Linked DNA regions of Schizosaccharomyces pombe. The protein of the gene in region 4 purifies or fractionates together with the protein of the main gene of each other region. This does not show direct contact. Each region holds a gene or a part of one and is shown on either strand. Other genes may lie near its edges.

Region 1 (5,596 bases), 1.5 Mb from region 4:
CTTCTAATGAATTTATGCAGTCTTCAGGAGATGACGGGAATTGATCGTTGTTCTTTATGATATTTTTAAAACATTCAAGCGCATCTGGCATTAGGCTGGCGTCTTCAATTACGGATTCTTTAACAGTTGATAGGTACTGAAGATAGCTATCATCTATAATTACAGTTTTTTTAAGAAAAGCATACATAGTTCCAACAGTTATACTGGACCCAGCTTGTCTGTTCATAACAAAGTGGGTAGTAGCATCGCTATCGCGTAGTCCAGTCGGTATACCTGAAAGTTGATAAGAAGTGAAAAAAAAAAAGACCGAAGTACCTAAGAGGTTTAAATTTGAAGCCCACTGGGATAACATTTCAGGGTTATCGAATTGTATACACATACTTCTCCAGTATGCACTTAAAGTTAGTAAATCATATATAGTCGATAAAACTTACTTTATCGTGAATGGACATTTACCCAGTTGTATTTTAAGATCTTTTTCTTTGTAAGAATCACCATTTTGACCAACAACTTTTTCATTAACCTTGGTTCCAAACTTCGTATCGAGGTCCTTTACTTCAAACTCGCATGGGCCACCGGTAAACTGTGCACATATTAGCTGGCATTGATTTAAAATATAAGAAAGATAAACATATAATAGAAATGAAAAATGAAAAGCTCAATATTTCCATTTAATTGGATACGTACGTAGTCTTTCTCACTTGGGGTCAAAATCGTAAAACGAGCATGGCGTTTACTAATTGATTTAGAAATCACTTGAATGTGGGACGAATCGTCTGCAATATTAGAAAATTAACAAAAATAAGAAACTTACCAGATACATTTCGACCTACAATATAAGTTCCTGGAAATAGTATCCGTGATTTTCCTGCTGTTTAGTACGTACAATACGGCCATAATGAAATTGATATAGCTAGTAAGAGATACCTTTTAGAATGTCACCCTCAGCCTCAATTATCCACATTTTTTCAACATAAAATTCTTTTTATTGAAAAAATTCAGAAACCAGAATGCTGTTTTCACAACTGAGGATGCATAGGTGCGTCGCTTTTAATTTTAGTACAATTGAAAGTAACAAAGTAACCCTTTATGATGTCCAAAAGCCCTTCGTTAAATTAGAAGCTAAATCTACTAAACCAATTCTTGAATTTGAATTGACAAAGCTTGCTTTTCAAAGCTTTCTTCAAGAAAAAGTTTAATCAACAAAAACTCTTAAAAAATTTATAATTTCAAAAAATTAGACTTACACAGGTTCTCTGTCCTAGCCTTGCAAACACAAAAAATACTGTGAGTACACTAGAAAATGAATTTACTAAAGGGGTAAACTATCGTACCAAAATGAAATTTTTAAAGTCATGAGCTTATGTGAGCAAACAAACTTCAATTAAATACTATTTATCATACGTCGTGTATATGCACTACTGGATAACTTCTTTTACAGTTTAAAAAAGTCCATGCCTCTTTAAATAACTAACTTTATTTCTAGTTTTTACTACATTCCTTTATTTTTTAATCAATGAATTATCTATTACCTATCCTAATAAGCAGAAGTATGAGTTAGCTGTAGTGTTTCATTTTCGCTAATTGATATTAGCCAGGAATCTCTCATCCTCGCTAAACCTCCCTACAGCTTAATCTTCCTTAAACCATTACCATACGAATTTGCTGGTTTCATATTCGCCGTTTGCAATTTCTATGTTGGTTGCAAACTATTCTAGTGATTCAGAAGAACAGGAGAATTCCCAATCGCCTAACATCCAACCTCTTCTGCATACTGAAAATTTAGCGCCAGCTGTGGTTGATAACGTATTTATCAAATGTTTTTTATAACATGCTAATCATTTTAGGTAAAGGATGATTTAATTGTTTCAAAGGGAGGAAACTCTAGAGAATTAGCGCGTAATGTCCCGGTTAATGAAATGGTGCAGCCTGCTTTAGGGCCTGCAAATCCATTTGTCACTAAAGAACAGGATTCTATAAAGAACAGTATTACCGGTTATGCTGAGAGGGAATATGTTCCAAATTTTGTATTTAATCAAGAATATTATGCTAATACACATGCTATTTATGGAAAACGAAATTTTGATGATAACGAAGCTACTACTTCTACAGATTTAAAAAGGAAGTCCCAGAAAATAAAAGAACGTAGAGAGGATCCTGGCGATCCATCTATCCTTGAAGGGGATGGTGCTTATAAGGGGCCATGGGCCGGATACGGTTCTGAACAATCCTCTTCACCTTTGGAGTACAGTGAATATGAAGAGGTTGAATCCCTGGATGTCAAAAGTGAAAAGGATACGGAATCTAATAACCTGGGTCAAAATGAATTATTGAAGGAACAATTAGCTACTCCAGAAGTTGAAACTCATCGCTCTAAAGAAGAGACTATACTTCATAAAGATAGATTATTTGATTATCAAAATAGAAGCTATATGCATGTCCCGAATGACGTCGGAATAAATTTATCGGAAGAGCCTGGTGAACAAACTTGTTACATTCCAAAGAAGCATATATTCACTTGGAAAGGTCATACGAAAGGTATTTCCTGCCTTAGGTTTTTTCCGATTAGTGGCCATTTACTTCTTTCTGGCTCAATGGATAATCAGATAAAGGTATGTTTGTAAGCAAAAAGATGATAAACTAATATTTAGATTTGGGAAGTTTACCATGACCGTTCTTTGCTTCGTACATTCCAAGGACACGCTCGTCCTATCCGCGATTTATCATTTAGCCAAGATGGACGATCATTCTTAAGTACTAGTTTTGATAAAACAATTAAACTCTGGGATACCGAATTAGGGAAATGTTTGAACTGCTTTAATTCAGATAGATTAACAAACTGCGTCAAATTCCAAGTAGATCCTGATAAACCCAACGAGTTTTTAGCAGGAACAGCTGACAAAAGGATCCTTCAATTTGATATCAGAAGTCCTGATATTGTTCAAGCATACGATCATCATCTCGGCGGAATCAATTCCATAACATTCCTTGAAAACGGAAAGCGCTTCGTTACCACATCTGATGACTCTTCAATGCGATTTTGGGAATACGGAACTCCAGTTCCTATAAAATTTGTGGCTGACATTGCAATGCATTCAATGCCTCGGGTTGCCTTACGGCCAAATGGAAAGTCGATAGCATGTCAATCTCTAGATAACTGCATTTACGTATATTCGGCATACGAGAAATATAGACAAAACAAAAAGAAGGTCTTTAAGGGATACAGTTGTTCAGGTTATAGCCTAGAAGTTGGATTTTCACCTGATGGTATGGCGTTCATTTTTTATTACGAATTTCTAACTAGTTTTAGGGAGATTTGTTTTTAGCGGAGATTCGAGCGGAAATGCCTGTTTCTGGGGTAAGTGCTTGGAATTGGAAAAACACCTAACATTTTTAGATTGGAAAACCTGTAAGCTAATGGCTAAACTCCCGGCTCATAGTGGACCCGTACAAAGCATGGCGTTCCACCCTCAAGAAACAAGCAAGGTAGCTACATCATCTATAGTTGATGGGTCTATCAAATACTGGGATTAAAAAGATTGTTCATATTTCTTGACCAAACAGCGAAATATATACATTAAACTAACGTTTCTTCTATTCGCAAAACTTAAAACCTTCCCCAGTCTCAAAATCCTGAGATGCTAAAATATAGCAATCCATAGCCTTTCGGAATCTATTTTTGTATTGCTTTGGAGTAACAATTGTTGGTTCAGGACCTCTACCAACTAAGCCTTTCTCCTTTACCCAACTTTCAAGTTTTTTGTCCCAAGTGTATGTTCGTATGAAATCAATTATTCCAACATAAAGTTCTTTTTTTGTATAATCAATACCAACAATTAAAGAGTAATCCATGATATTGAGTTTTGAGAGGAACAATGTATCATTCCAAAGGCAAGAATGCAAAAGACTTTTTAGTTGTTCACTAACAAATATTGGAGATTCGTAAATAAGTTCAACCAAATTTTCATCAAGCAATACTTCATCTACCTTCCCTGTAGATTCTACATGTCGATTCCTCATGGAACCTTTAAGATCAAATATTCTAGACGGACATTCATCATAAAATACATTTTCCATAATCATTATATCAGTCTTACAGATTGTACCAGTAGTAGGATTTCGAATGTCTACGCGGTAAAATCCAAAGATTTTAGTCAATGCAGTTGGCAACTCGTGAAAGAAAACTTTAGATATGTAATCAAAATAAGCTGGAGCAAAATTAAGCAAGGAGTCACTTTCCAACCTTGACAGAACTTTGAGAATGTATTTCTTATCGAAAGTTTTTAAAAATGCTGATCCAGATTTTCCACCGCTAGATTCCCAAAGAGAACATCTCGCTAGAGATGTCACAAACGTCTCCTCACAGCCACAAGCTCTTCGCAAAGCACTAAATTGTTCCGCGAAAAAGACCTTACAGGATAGTCTTGCTGATCCTTCTTCAAACTGGTATTTCAAATGCGTCCCCGTTGGTTTGAGCATTAAGTTTTCAATTTTGAATTGCGTCGAGCCTTGTAAGCCTTGATTGGTTAAAGCTTCGTCCATGCTATCTTCAATTTCTACCATTTTTGATAAATAGTCAGGAGAGCTAAGAGTAAAACTTATCAAGGAGCTAGGTTCGTCTTCCCTTATGATCACATTTGAGTCGGAAAACATATGCTCTGTAGGTTGTAGAGGAAATTCAAAAGGTGGAGGATTGAGGGAGTTCCATTCATTCCAAAATGCAGATAAAATCCTGTAAACTGAAGTTTTGTCAGCCAAAGGACCAGAAGTTGGCAACTTTGATCCCTCTTTATCCATTTGACTAGAAGGTTCAAGGTTTTGCTGTTCTTCGAGGCCAGATTCATTTTTGAAAAGAATTCCAAAAATATCTTCAAACGCTTCAGGTGAATTGTCTTCATTCGAAGAAACATTTTCTCGCTCCTTGCTCATAGAATCAACTCCAGAAAAATTGCTTTCGGTAGCGCGATTTTCTTTTGTGTCATTAATGCCATTCTCATCTTCGGAATTTTCATCATCAAATGCTTCATTAAGGTCATTAAATACTTCTACTACCGGCTTAGATGGGACTACAGGAAGAGCCCGCTTGCGTCGAGCCTTTATTAATTCTTCATCTCGTTTTTGCTTTTCTTGTAATTGTAAACTTAGCTCTTCAAATCTACGCACTAAAGAGCTAACCCGCACATCTTTTGCTGGAATGGGCTTCCTGGGTGAGTATTTTGTAGAATTCTGTATACTGGAAATTTTTGCAGATATTGAAGAAGAAATAGGCATGTTCATCCCACTTGTTGAAGATGCATTGACAAATCGCCTGTCACTGGTACTAGCACTTTTCCGCTTATGAGAAAGCATATTAACGCCTTGTCTTTGGCTTATATTTGGATACGTTTGTCTACTGAAACCTGAATTTGAGACCGGAGAAGCTGGAAAAGTGTTCTGAGTAGAAATATCATTGGTAAAATCGATGTTGGCTTTAGGAATATCGGAAGATGTTGCTACTGAAAAGCAATCAGATTCTGGAGAACCAACATTTGCCATACTATCTGCATACGGAGCAACACGCTTGTTTGAAGCAACATTAGTTTGGGTAACTTTCTCG
Region 2 (3,797 bases), on a different chromosome or scaffold from region 4:
ATCACAGAAAGTTGTGTCCGTGGAGCTTCGTCAGCCTCTTCTGTAGGCTTATTTATGCTGTCATCTTCTTCCAGTTCAGCATCCAAGTCTTCTACAACAATTGTGTACTCATTTTTGTAGTAAGCTACACGCTTGCAGGTTGGCATTTCAATATCAGAATCTGCACCGACTGTTAATATATTGACATGGAATAAAGGATATTGTAAGAGAATTCGCTTTCCCTTTTAAATTTATTCAAAAGGTTAATCGATAGTATACATACCATCATATTCTGAAGTATCCTCTATTGTAAGCTTCTTCAATGGCCTTTCGATAATTTCGAGGATTCTTTTCGTCGAATAATCATCTTTTGACGCATAATAGCTTCTTTTCAGAGCCATTGAGACGATAAAATGACAAGTCTTATTGTAAACCCACTTTTTGGCAGTAGGTAAAATGTATTCTCTTCAACACACAAAATCCATTGTAAGTGACAATGCTACTTACTAAAGTTTTGAATACTCAGAGGCTATAACTTTAATATGTGATAAAGCTAATGAAATCTTCTAGCAATTAATATCTATTATCTCCATAAATATCGGGTCATTATTTTTTTGTAATTCCCGGTGACTTCTTGGCACTGTTTTTCTATTTCAACAAGTCACCGATGGGCTGTAACAGCTAATTAATACTGTACAAGGATAAGAGTTCTGTAAGAAATGTAAATCTAAGTTATAGCGTTAAGTAAATTTATCGACCATGTCTTTCTTCTTTGTTTTTTTTTTATCAATTAAAAAATCCAAAGTAAATCAGGATTTGCTTTTGGTAAGGTTGTTCAACAAAGTTTTATCTAAATCAATGAAAGAATGTTTAATCTTTTCCTCTTGTTCATTAATCTCGAGTTCTTCTTCCATAAGTGATTTAATAATCTGTGAACGCTCCTCCTGCTGAAGCTTCTCAGAAGCTATTGCTTCTTTTAGCCGCTGAATTTGTTCATCCATTGTAAGAATATTAGGAAGCTTCACAGAAAGTCCATTTGTAAAAGCAGGAGATTCTCCAAAGGCACCTTTCTTGATTTGAGTATGTTCCCATGATTGGATGGGCTCTGCTATGTCTTCATCGTCCAATTCCATCTCCATATTTTTCTGGTCGACGGCCATTTGAATTGATCGTGTCCGTAAACTTTCCGAGCTATGGTGGTATATTTCTTGAAGTTTTTCTGACTCCTCCACGTAATTTTCAAATCCAGAGTAACCTTCATCTTGAATTTCGTCTTCCGTTTGAAGCAATTTCTCTTCTTTATGATTTTGTGCCAACATCAGTTGGTCCCCTGTTTCAAGTGAAATGTAATTATCCGTCATCATGGCAATGTTTCTCTTTCTTCCTTCTCGATCCTTTAACTCCTTAATCATTGCTTCCTCAGGAATGCCTTGATTAAGCATATTCCATTCCAAACTAGTATTAACGGGTAAAGGAGGTGACGATCTTGTTTGCAATTCGCTTTCTTTGGTCGAGGAATCCTCCTCCTTCTTTGTAAATTCTGATGGTGTCTGCCTACTTTTTCTCTTTAACTCATCCACATAAGCATTGGAGTATCCACTTTCATGCGAGAGAGCATCCATTCTTCGCGATATTCTTTATTAATTAGATAACTAATACTTGGACTTAAAACATTTTACTTACAAATCATCAACCGAATGAAAAGAGCTTTGCTTTTTTACCTTTGGAATCAAAGGGATTTGAGAATCCTCCCCATCGTCGTCTCCTTCCTAATCAATGTTTGTTAATATAACAGATGAATTGGTAAAACGTTTTCCAGCAAAAAACAACTTACCTCGTTCTCATATTTCACCCTAAATTTTCCCGAATTTTTTTCTTTCGCTTTTGTTTTTCTTCTATTTGCATTTTTGTCTAAGCATTGTTAGTACACTTGCGATAATAAGTTCTATTCGAGCCCAAGCACTTTTGCGCTTTTAAGTTCTTACTTGATTGAGAAACGTTTAAATTTTCTTCATGCTTTTCTTCCTCATTGTCGCTCGTTTGCACGATTTTAGGCTTCGCCTTTTTTAAGTATCGTCGCATGTTGGTAAATGGGTGCTACTTTCTAGGCAAACATATTTCTACCAATCTTTCATATTGAATAGCTATTTTTGTAAAAAAAAAATCATATAAAGTCTTAATTAAAATGATGTTTTTATGTTCTGTGAAAATTAGAAAGGGATAAACATAAATGTCTTTACTTGGGCATTTAATATTATGGCACATACTGAAGAGGTGCATCGGATAATGCAAAGCATCAGAAAAGTATTTGTTCAATTGACTTACATTTTTTTCGACTAATTTTAGAGAAATGTGTTTGAAATTCAAGTTTCAGATTTAAAACTTTTAATTGAAAAGCTACAATCGACAAGCTACCAATATCTACTACAGTCACTGGAAAATTTCCATTATATAAGTTGAAAACAAAAACAATGCTTTTAATTATTTAGAAAATCAGAAGAAAAAATAACAAAATTATTTTTTGGAAAGGACATTTTAAAATAAAACATATAAATAACTCATCGATCCAAAAAAAAGATTTGGACGTTTGAAAAACCTCAATGGAAGTTTTCATGTACATATGTGCATTAAGGAACAACAGCAATGAAAGAAAAATAAAACAATCATAAATAAAACAATCCTTGGCACAAATAATATTCAACAGTTATAAAAAACATCACAAGAGAGATTTAACATACAAGAATAAAAACAAAACAAAATAAAAAAAATCACGAGAGCACCCTTCAGTTCTTTAAGACATTAAACTAACTTGATCAGGAGCCCTCGAAAACTTATACGGATGCCTTTGAAAAACGAAAATAAATAAAAAATTAAAACAAAAACATTAGAAATAAAACAAGAATATTCGGGAAATCCCTTCACTTAAGAAGAGAAGTGGAAGAAACAAATAGTAGTAGTAGTAATGCATTTCAAACATCATAAAAATAATTTATGAATCGCGTGACAAGCGTAGAGAAGGTTGCAAGTATTGACCAGTACAATTAAATGTAGAATAAGAACGAGGAGGCAAGCGACCTCTCAAGTTCAAACCAAAGCCGGATTTCTCCAAACCGTTTTCATTTTGCTCCAACTCATGACGGAGATCAATTAGTGAAGACTGACGCTCCCTTCCTAGGTTCCAAGGCCTAGAAGCTCTCGCTTGAAATGCTGAACCATTCAAAGAAGCAGGTTGCTCATCATCAACCAACTTTAAGGAGGAAACACGTGTTAATAAATCTTGAGTAGCAAAGGAGTTATGATTGTTGCCGGAAAAAGGCTGCAACCATTCGGGGAGCTTCACACTAGGCTGGACCTTTGCAGAACCATTAATTTTTGAGGATTGCAAAACAGAAGACTGAGGATACACCTGTCCGCCTACCAAGCCAGTGGCAGCTGAAGGGAAATGGGAAGAAAGAGGTGTCAAACCTGAGCCACTACCGGACAACGTAGGAGAAATGGAGGCTGAACGAGACAAAGGAGGTGGAGAAATGGTTGAAAAATTTACGGAGTTCATGCCATTGATTGAGGAAACAACGGAGTTTGGCAACAAAGATTGCGCAGCAGCAGTACGAGGTGAAACAGGTGCACTCTTCAAGCTAGAGCCGGATGAGTTTGAGCTGCCAGAGTTTGCTCCAATGACAGATTGATTCATACCGAAAATTTGGTTAGCGGAAAGAGTTCTGTCGAAGCCCTCATCTGAAACTTGGGATTGAGATTGAGACAAGGCAGATACAGGAAGCGTATTATGACCCCACGCGAGGCGGATATGAGAAGTACCA
Region 3 (4,339 bases), on a different chromosome or scaffold from region 4:
CCAGTAAGTTCCATCCACACAAGAGCCACTAAGAACGCCCCATTGTTCTTCTTCCAAATCAAAGTCACGCTTATTTTCAGTCTCAACTTCGTATTGTTGAAGGACGTCTAGGTATCGTTCATCATGAGTCATGTACAATTGCTCACTTGAGCCAATGATAGATGCAGTGCTTAAAGGCGTTGACCCTTCACTCTCATTTAATCCGTTTATTGAAGAAGACATGTTATTATTGAGAACATGATCAACGCTAATGAAATAAAAGCTGTTGCAGTCTTCTTTTTAATATTTTTTTGTTTACCACATTACCAGACGTGGTTTGTGTTCTGACAAAGATCAAACTCGGTATTCTAGTGAATTTCGCTAATATACTAAAATCCAAAGGAATATATAAATGTAGAGTATCTCTAAAATTTACGGGTTTTAAACATAATAAAAAAATATAAATCGTGCTAAAATCTAGCTTACCGCTTATTGAGTACAAATTTTTTGCGCATGTACAAACACCTTAATCAAAACTGTGAACAAAAAATTGAAAAAGGCTGAAATGCATATATCAGACCAAGAAAAACTCCGTATATGTAATGATCTCTTGTAAAGTAGTTTGTTAACTTCCAAAAATTCTCAACCTGAAAAACGAATGGACAATTGAATTCAAATATCATTTTATACCAACCATATTCATAAATATAAAAAAAGGGCAAGATGCGTCAAACAACGTGTGCTTGAAGTTCCTAATTTAACGTCTTATTTTCTTCTTTAAACGACGTATTTTTTCTTTTCTTCTGTCCTGTGTACGTTCAAATTTGCTCTCATACCGAAATTTCTTTTTGGCGGCATTTTTAGGCTTGTGGGGACGCAAAGGAACATCTGGTGGAGGAGAAATACGAGGCGTGACAAAACCTTCTTTAGGATAAGCAATTTCTTCATCATCATCGTCCTCTACAATTTCTACCGTAACATGCTTATCATCTTCGTCATACTCAGTAGTTTTAGGCTCCATTGATGACTCTTCCTCGCTGTCAGATTTAGATGAGGAATCTTCTTGCTGTGAAGATTCTTCATCATTTTCTAGCGAGCTATTCAACTCTTTAGAGAATGCTAATCGCTCAGCCAGTTCTCTTTTGCGCTGTTCTCTGAGCTGAATAGTGTTAGTGATATACTCAAGATAGTATTAGAAAAACTTACAGATTTCCTCAACGCTAAACGTTCTTCGCGTTTTTGCTGCTCCAATTGAACTTGAGCATGCTTTCGTCGTTCAACTTTGCGTTTATGAAATCCAGTTAAATACTCTCTGTAACAAGTTAGTAGCAATCCCTTTATGATATCCATACTTTCGCTTCTCTTTATCAAAGACGATCTCCTCCAATCTTTGCTTCTTCCCTTTCTTCCTGCTGTAAATCTCACCTCCACGGGTTAGTAGAGATGTATTATCCATGATGCAACAGTTCGTGAGTAGCTAGAAGAGAGGGACAATTTATGGGAATCTGTAGTGATTTTAAGTAAATTATCTCCAATTCTATCCAGTCTCGTAATGGTCCAGTAGATTTATGAAGACGAGAGGTACTGAAACCCTACTATGCCTTGTACGTACATTTGCACTACTAACTAGAAAATTATTTGCAAAATGCATCGCATTTGCCTTATATTATATACGGATATTGGTATAGTGCAGTAAACGATTAGTTGGCTATGCATTGCTTTCCTCTAGCTATTACACACAGAAACCAACGTGTGCCGAATGTTTTGCTCAATCAGTGGAGAAACGCCAAAAGAACCGGTGATTTCTCGTGTAAGTGGTATGTTTGTACAATAATTTCCCTGTCTGACTGAATGTAGGAAATGTTTACGAGAAGCGCTTGATTGAACAAGTTATTCGTGAAACGTCTAAAGACCCTGTTACTCAACAGGAATGCACGTTGGAGGACTTGGTTCCTGTAAAGGGTAAGATTTCCTTCTTTATTATTGAATGGTTAAGAATTTCAAGTAGCACTTATTTTTTTATACGTGGAGTACTGAATATTCTGAAATTGGTTTGGAAAGTAAAACCCTGCAATATTGGTTGAAGAACTCGTTTATTTTCTTTTTTTTGTTGATAATGTATTTTATTGCATGATTGATTTGTACTCGAAATTTTTTAATTTTACAGCTTTATATTTCTCCTTAAAAAGTGGACTATTTAGTGCATGTCAATATCTCGGGGCAGAAATTAGGAAGGTTTTTAGAGAATTATAGAACAACCTTGTCGGATTTATCAAAACAAATCTTTATCAAAATTAATGTGGAGTTGTTGAGGAAAATGTATTAATACTTTAGATTTTTTTTGGTTTTTGCTCTCCAATGCGATTTATATTTACTATATTTTGATTGTACTGACCATTCACATATAAAGCGAATCAAATCGAAGATAATTGCTAACCTTTAAACAGTACCTGATTTTGTTAGACCTCGACCTCCTTCTGCCACTTCATTGCCTGCATTGCTGTCTCTCTTTCAAGAAGAATGGGATTCTGTCGCGCTTGAGCAATTTGAACTTAGAAGAAATCTTACAGAGACGAAGCAGGAGTTATCAACGGCATTGTATTCGCTAGATGCTGCGTTAAGAGTTATATCTCGGCTTACCAAAGAAAGAGACGAAGCTAGAGAAGCATTGGCGAAATTTTCCGATAACATAGGCACTGTTTCCTCGAAAACTATTGAAGTACAAGAGGTAGAGATGGGCGAAAGTGATGACCAGCTTAAAACTAGCTTACGCTCTACGGTGGAAAAAACATTTCAAGAACTTTCTTCCAAAAGGAAACGTACAAAGTTACAACCTAAATGGGCGACTGACGATGCTGTGAGTCAGCTCTTGCAAGCTACTCCTTCTACTATCTTAGAAAATTTGGAAACAGAAAGCACTACGTCTTTCTTCCCGTCCCCTGAAAATTCTTCTTTTGTATTATGTCTTCATAAGGATGAACTTTTATGTCTAGATATCCAATCCAACAGTACTCTCAAAATTTTTGAAGGATCAGCTTTAGCGTGTTGTTGGTTGACTTCTTCCAAGATTGCTGTCGCTACTGCTGATGCCATTTCAATTTTTGAATTTCCTGTTTCCTCATCTGGTTTACAAAGTGTGGGTGAACCTACTTCGTCCATTCCTATAGACGAAAAGGTGAACTTCCTTCAAGCTCATCCAAGTGGGGAATATTTATTAGCAGCATCAAACGAAAAGTGTTATATTTTCTCCCTGAAATCCCAGGTTTATAATATCACCGTTGCTCAACACATTACATCTCTTGCTGTACATCCGGACGGTAACCTCTTTGTCGCTGGGTTAGAGAATGGCGAGTTACGCTTTTTTGAGACTTCCTCGGGAAATGAGCTTACAAAATTTGGACCACATTCAAGTCCAGTTAAAACATTACAATTTGGTGAAAACGGTTATTGGCTTGTAGTAACAACTAATGATGACTCTGACATTTTCATTTGGGACTTAAGAAAATCTGAGCTTGTTCAAAAAATACCCCTACAAACCAAAGTCGCAGCAGTGTCATTAGATATTACTAGTCAACTTTTGGTAAGTTCGGATGGGGAGACTCTCTATGTACATATTTATGTCAAATCTTCAAAGTCTTGGAGATGTATGAGTCAAACCCATGTTTCCTCTATTTCTAATTTGGTTTGGTTAAATGAGTTACACCAGTTGTTGTTTAGTACTTCAAATGGAGCCATTCTCCGGTTGGGTTAACCCAATTTTTAATCCTTTAATTATGTGCTCCTCCATTAGGCTTTTCGTATTTAGTAAGATTTTGGCTCTTTAACTTAAGTGATTTCCTTCATAATGAAATATTTAGGCAAACTATTATTTTTCAGATAGATGTATCATTAAATTTTGACATTTGGTTTAATTGGCAAAAAATAATTTATGTGAGTTAACTCAAGTGTCAGAAACAGTGGGAGCCTCAGTTGTTTCTGATGCTTCTGGTTCAATTAAACTGACTTCCAGTAAATGATTTTGTAGTTTAGTAAGAGTTCTTTTAACTTTCTCAAGATCAGGCTCGCTGTAATCGACAGTCGGAAAAGACGTGGAAAGAGAATTAGTGAGCCAATATGATTTAATTTGTCGAGAAACATCCAGTAACTGTTCTACCGCGCGAACCATGGACACAGTATGGCATTCAATCTGGTAAACCTCTGGTGCTACCGTATATTTATCTTTGCCTTCATTTATAGCAATATCCAGTATGTCTTGAAACCTTGACAAAATAGTTAGTGTAGCATTGTCAATAGACGAATTTAAAGTATTAGTTCGCTGAACTAGCTGCCGTTGGAAACTGTCTGAAGACATACTAGCTTT
Region 4 (3,162 bases):
CGAAGGTTTGATAATGATATTTAGTAAAGTAATTCTAATGTATAGGAATATTTTCTGAGGCGCAAAAAAATGAATGCACATTTCCTGATATACGGTATGCAATTGGTCTATTCATTCAATTCTAATAAGGTGTCTAGGGCAACACTGTTGGAAAAAGTTTGTGAATATTTGCATTACAATTACAGATATAAAAATCAATTAGATATTCCAAAGTTCGATATCCCACCTGAGATGGTTTTAGAATTATTGGTCACTGCGGAATATTTGGAAGGTAAGATTATCATTACTATTTAAAGCTAATGAATACAGCATAATTCTGATTACTCACGAGGAACGAAAGGATTGCTAAATTGCTACAGCATTAAAGAATTGACGGTTTTTGTTTACGATTAACGATTTGATGCCTTAAATAACTATTAAACGCGTTACCTATCGAATGCAAGAAATGAGATGGAAAAAATGTATTATATAACTATGCGGTTTCTAGAAATCTTGTGAGTTACTTTATTTTGGAATTTTCCCCTCTAATAGCATAGCTTCCAGTCGATTTATCTCAGCAATGGAAGAGGCATTTTTAATGGCTTCTTTGATCTTTTCTCTTTCCTCAGGTGTAAGTGTATATCCAGTTGTAATAGGAGAATTCGCTTCTGGGTGGCTTTGTACCAATGCAGCCAAATCAAATACTCGACTTTTCACACCCATAATAGAGGAAGCTATTTCTGTAGGGTTTTGAATTTGACCAAACACTTCTTCAGCACGAAGCCTTTCATTTCTTCTAACCCGTTCGAAATCTAAAATATGTAACGAAGGAATTCTCCATATAAGATATAATCTATAATATTGTTTTTGAGCAACTGGATTGTCAATGCACGACAAATTAGTGAGTTGAGGACAACTAGCCAACGGATCTAAATCTGCTATTTCTTGAAGATGATTTTGTGCTAGGGATAAAGTCTTTAAATTCGGAAGAACTTTACCTATGTCTGGGGCTATAGCAGTTATTCGGTTATTTCCACACAAAAGCGTTTGAAGCCTTTTCATACGAGGGAAATTCCCTAAATATCGAATGTCATTGTCTGTGAAATCAATTGCATCGTGTACGTCCCTTAACACTCCTAAATTTTCAATTATTGGAATCTGATACCCTGTAATTATGAGTTAGCTGGATGACACGTAGCATACAGTAATTTCTTTAAACATATCTTAAATCAAGCTCAGTTTCTTTCAAAGGACTGATGAATGAGGGTACCTGAGACAAAAATTCAGCATTAAGACGCATGAAATTTTTGTAATGAAAATGCCTTTTTTATGCTGTTACTGCAGTATGATTTAAAATTCCTAAAAAATTATCCAAAACGCTCACAATCCTAAATTTCACTATTGTTTATTCAAAAAATGTTATAGTTAACGTTTTAGAATCTAATAATGTAAAGTTAATTATGTAAAAACCAAGAATATGACACGTCAAGAGAAGAAGCAAAGTGGTAGAGTTTGGATAGTAAGCACATAAATAAATACAAAGAAATCTTGACTCAATAAGCAAAAAATACTCACTTTTTCTACTTTTTAGATTTAAAAAAAACAAATTATGCGTAATTATACTTTGATAATTGACTGACGACTTCCATGTTCAAGAATCGGCTTTCGTACTAGAAAATTCTTGGGAAAACAGAGAATAAATGATTTTTGTATATGTGTGTTTTGACACCTTTAAATAAAACATTTTTTCATTGTTGTCAAATATATATCTTAAGTTTGTCAGAAATTGGTACACACTCTTTTATCTGTTGAGCTCTCAAAAACAAACACAAGCAATCGACTATTTGGATGAAACACACATTGTTTTCCACTCAAAGTTTTAGTTCAACTCATCTATAATGTTCATACTGCCTCCCTATTTGACTTCGTGAGCACAAACCGCCAACGAAAGTTTGAAACCAGGTTATTTACAATTATTCAGAGTTGCTTAAGGAACCTGTTTTCCTATTAAAAAATTGCATTGAGATACTTACTAAACTGCTATATCTTTTTGTTTTCTCATTTAATGAAAAACATTCCAAAAACAATATTGACATCAAGTCGTTTTTTAATGTAACAGTTTTAATGAATTCTTCAGATTGTTTCTATCGTATTGCTCTATCTCAATGAAAGCACTGCTAAGAAATTATATTTAAATTGATATGACAGCTTCTAATATCGAATCAACTATCCATCCTCATACTAATACCACATGAGTCGGACTAATTGAAAATGCCAGCGATATCGACAAATGTACATCGACATTTCGGATAATGTTTGGGTTTAGAGTAGCCTCTTTTGTAGTTGAAAGTGGAAGAAATACATGATTAAATGTTGTGCTTCCATAGCTCGTGTACTTATAAATCATACAGTCACTCTTGAGAATATGAAATTAAAAATCACTGCATTTATTCTAACACTTATTCTGTTCCAGTAAGAATTATTCAAACTGAATTTACTACAAAACTACAGATCAATACCCACACATAAAAACCAAAAACAAGTTTTTTCTTTTATTTACAATAGCTTCAACTAAGTATTTTGAAGCTGCTTGTTAGTTAATGCTACAATATGACTGTTTATTTCTATATGCTTAAAAAGAGGATTATATAACATAAGGATGGCCGTGGCTCCACTAACTATTCTTTTGCCGACACCTCCAAATGAAACAAGAATTAATATAAGCAGGAGGAATACCATTCGGCTAGTTATATTAGACTATTTGGGAGCTTTGAAGTCGTTTTTCAAGTTTGCTTACATTCTGATTTATATTAGGTATTATAAGTGAGCCGTCAGCGAAATTTATTAACCGGTGAATGTTTGAAGCGCTACGAGATTAATGGATGACTTAGAATGGCTCGAGAAACTGAATTTAATGACAAAAGTCCCTCTTCCACCGATGATGGTATGAGCCAGTCGCACTTTTCAGATAAACTGAAAAATTTGTTTCACTTTCGTAGGAATCGAGCGGCAACCGTTTCTACTAGTGTCCGAAATGATCAGAGGGATAATGATTCTGATGACTCAACCTTTGATATTAATGTTAATCAATTGAATGAATTAGATCTGAATGATAGTAGCGATCAATTGGATAGTCGTCCCAGCCTTAGACGCGTATCTTCCGCACCTGATTCTCACAAAGGA

The links.
Region 1: the proteins of lea1 (region 4) and prp17 purify together in Schizosaccharomyces pombe (affinity purification with mass spectrometry; 2 studies listed by BioGRID, with this or other methods). This does not show direct contact.
Region 2: the proteins of lea1 (region 4) and ntr2 purify together in Schizosaccharomyces pombe (affinity purification with mass spectrometry; 2 studies listed by BioGRID). This does not show direct contact.
Region 3: the proteins of lea1 (region 4) and prp19 purify together in Schizosaccharomyces pombe (affinity purification with mass spectrometry; 2 studies listed by BioGRID, with this or other methods). This does not show direct contact.

Annotation. Positions count from the first base shown.
Region 1 is NC_003423.3:2,649,951-2,655,546, forward strand, and holds the start of prp17 (Prp19 complex WD repeat protein Prp17), read left to right. Parts: upstream 1-1,643; 5' UTR 1,644-1,695; coding exon 1,696-1,806; exon of another isoform or gene 1,807-1,847; coding exon 1,848-2,612; exon of another isoform or gene 2,613-2,651; coding exon 2,652-3,267; exon of another isoform or gene 3,268-3,310; coding exon 3,311-3,358; exon of another isoform or gene 3,359-3,397; coding exon 3,398-3,534; 3' UTR 3,535-3,594; coding exon of another isoform or gene 3,595-5,596. Other genes in the region: Mre11 complex BRCT domain subunit Nbs1, read right to left, coding at 1-273, 316-395, 435-583, 688-776, 815-868, 928-964; 1-phosphatidylinositol-3-phosphate 5-kinase Fab1, read right to left, coding at 3,595-5,596.
Region 2 is NC_003424.3:3,567,479-3,571,275, forward strand, and holds ntr2 (spliceosome complex disassembly protein Ntr2), read right to left. Parts: upstream 2,068-3,797; 5' UTR 2,062-2,067; coding exon 1,965-2,061; exon of another isoform or gene 1,891-1,964; coding exon 1,814-1,890; exon of another isoform or gene 1,749-1,813; coding exon 1,663-1,748; exon of another isoform or gene 1,615-1,662; coding exon 789-1,614; 3' UTR 504-788; downstream 1-503. Other genes in the region: SPOM_SPAC17A2.07C (uncharacterized protein), read right to left, coding at 1-160, 263-380; RNA-binding protein Csx1, read right to left, coding at 2,969-3,797.
Region 3 is NC_003424.3:5,131,504-5,135,842, forward strand, and holds prp19 (Prp19 complex subunit, ubiquitin-protein ligase E4 Prp19), read left to right. Parts: upstream 1-1,719; 5' UTR 1,720-1,738; coding exon 1,739-1,796; exon of another isoform or gene 1,797-1,836; coding exon 1,837-1,941; intron 1,942-2,280; exon of another isoform or gene 2,281-2,426; coding exon 2,427-3,730; 3' UTR 3,731-3,839; downstream 3,840-4,339. Other genes in the region: RNA polymerase I upstream activation factor complex subunit Rrn5, read right to left, coding at 1-222; rRNA exonuclease Rrp17, read right to left, coding at 737-1,138, 1,186-1,291, 1,332-1,435; srb6 (mediator complex subunit Med22), read right to left, coding at 3,920-4,330. UniProt on the Schizosaccharomyces pombe protein: Probable ubiquitin-protein ligase involved in pre-mRNA splicing. May also function in DNA repair.
Region 4 is NC_003423.3:4,144,785-4,147,946, forward strand, and holds lea1 (U2 snRNP-associated protein Lea1), read right to left. Parts: upstream 1,487-3,162; 5' UTR 1,280-1,486; coding exon 1,199-1,279; intron 1,138-1,198; coding exon 505-1,137; 3' UTR 501-504; downstream 1-500. Other genes in the region: elc1 (elongin C), read left to right, coding at 1-5, 46-94, 138-271, 310-314; serine/threonine protein kinase Ppk22, read left to right, coding at 2,872-3,162.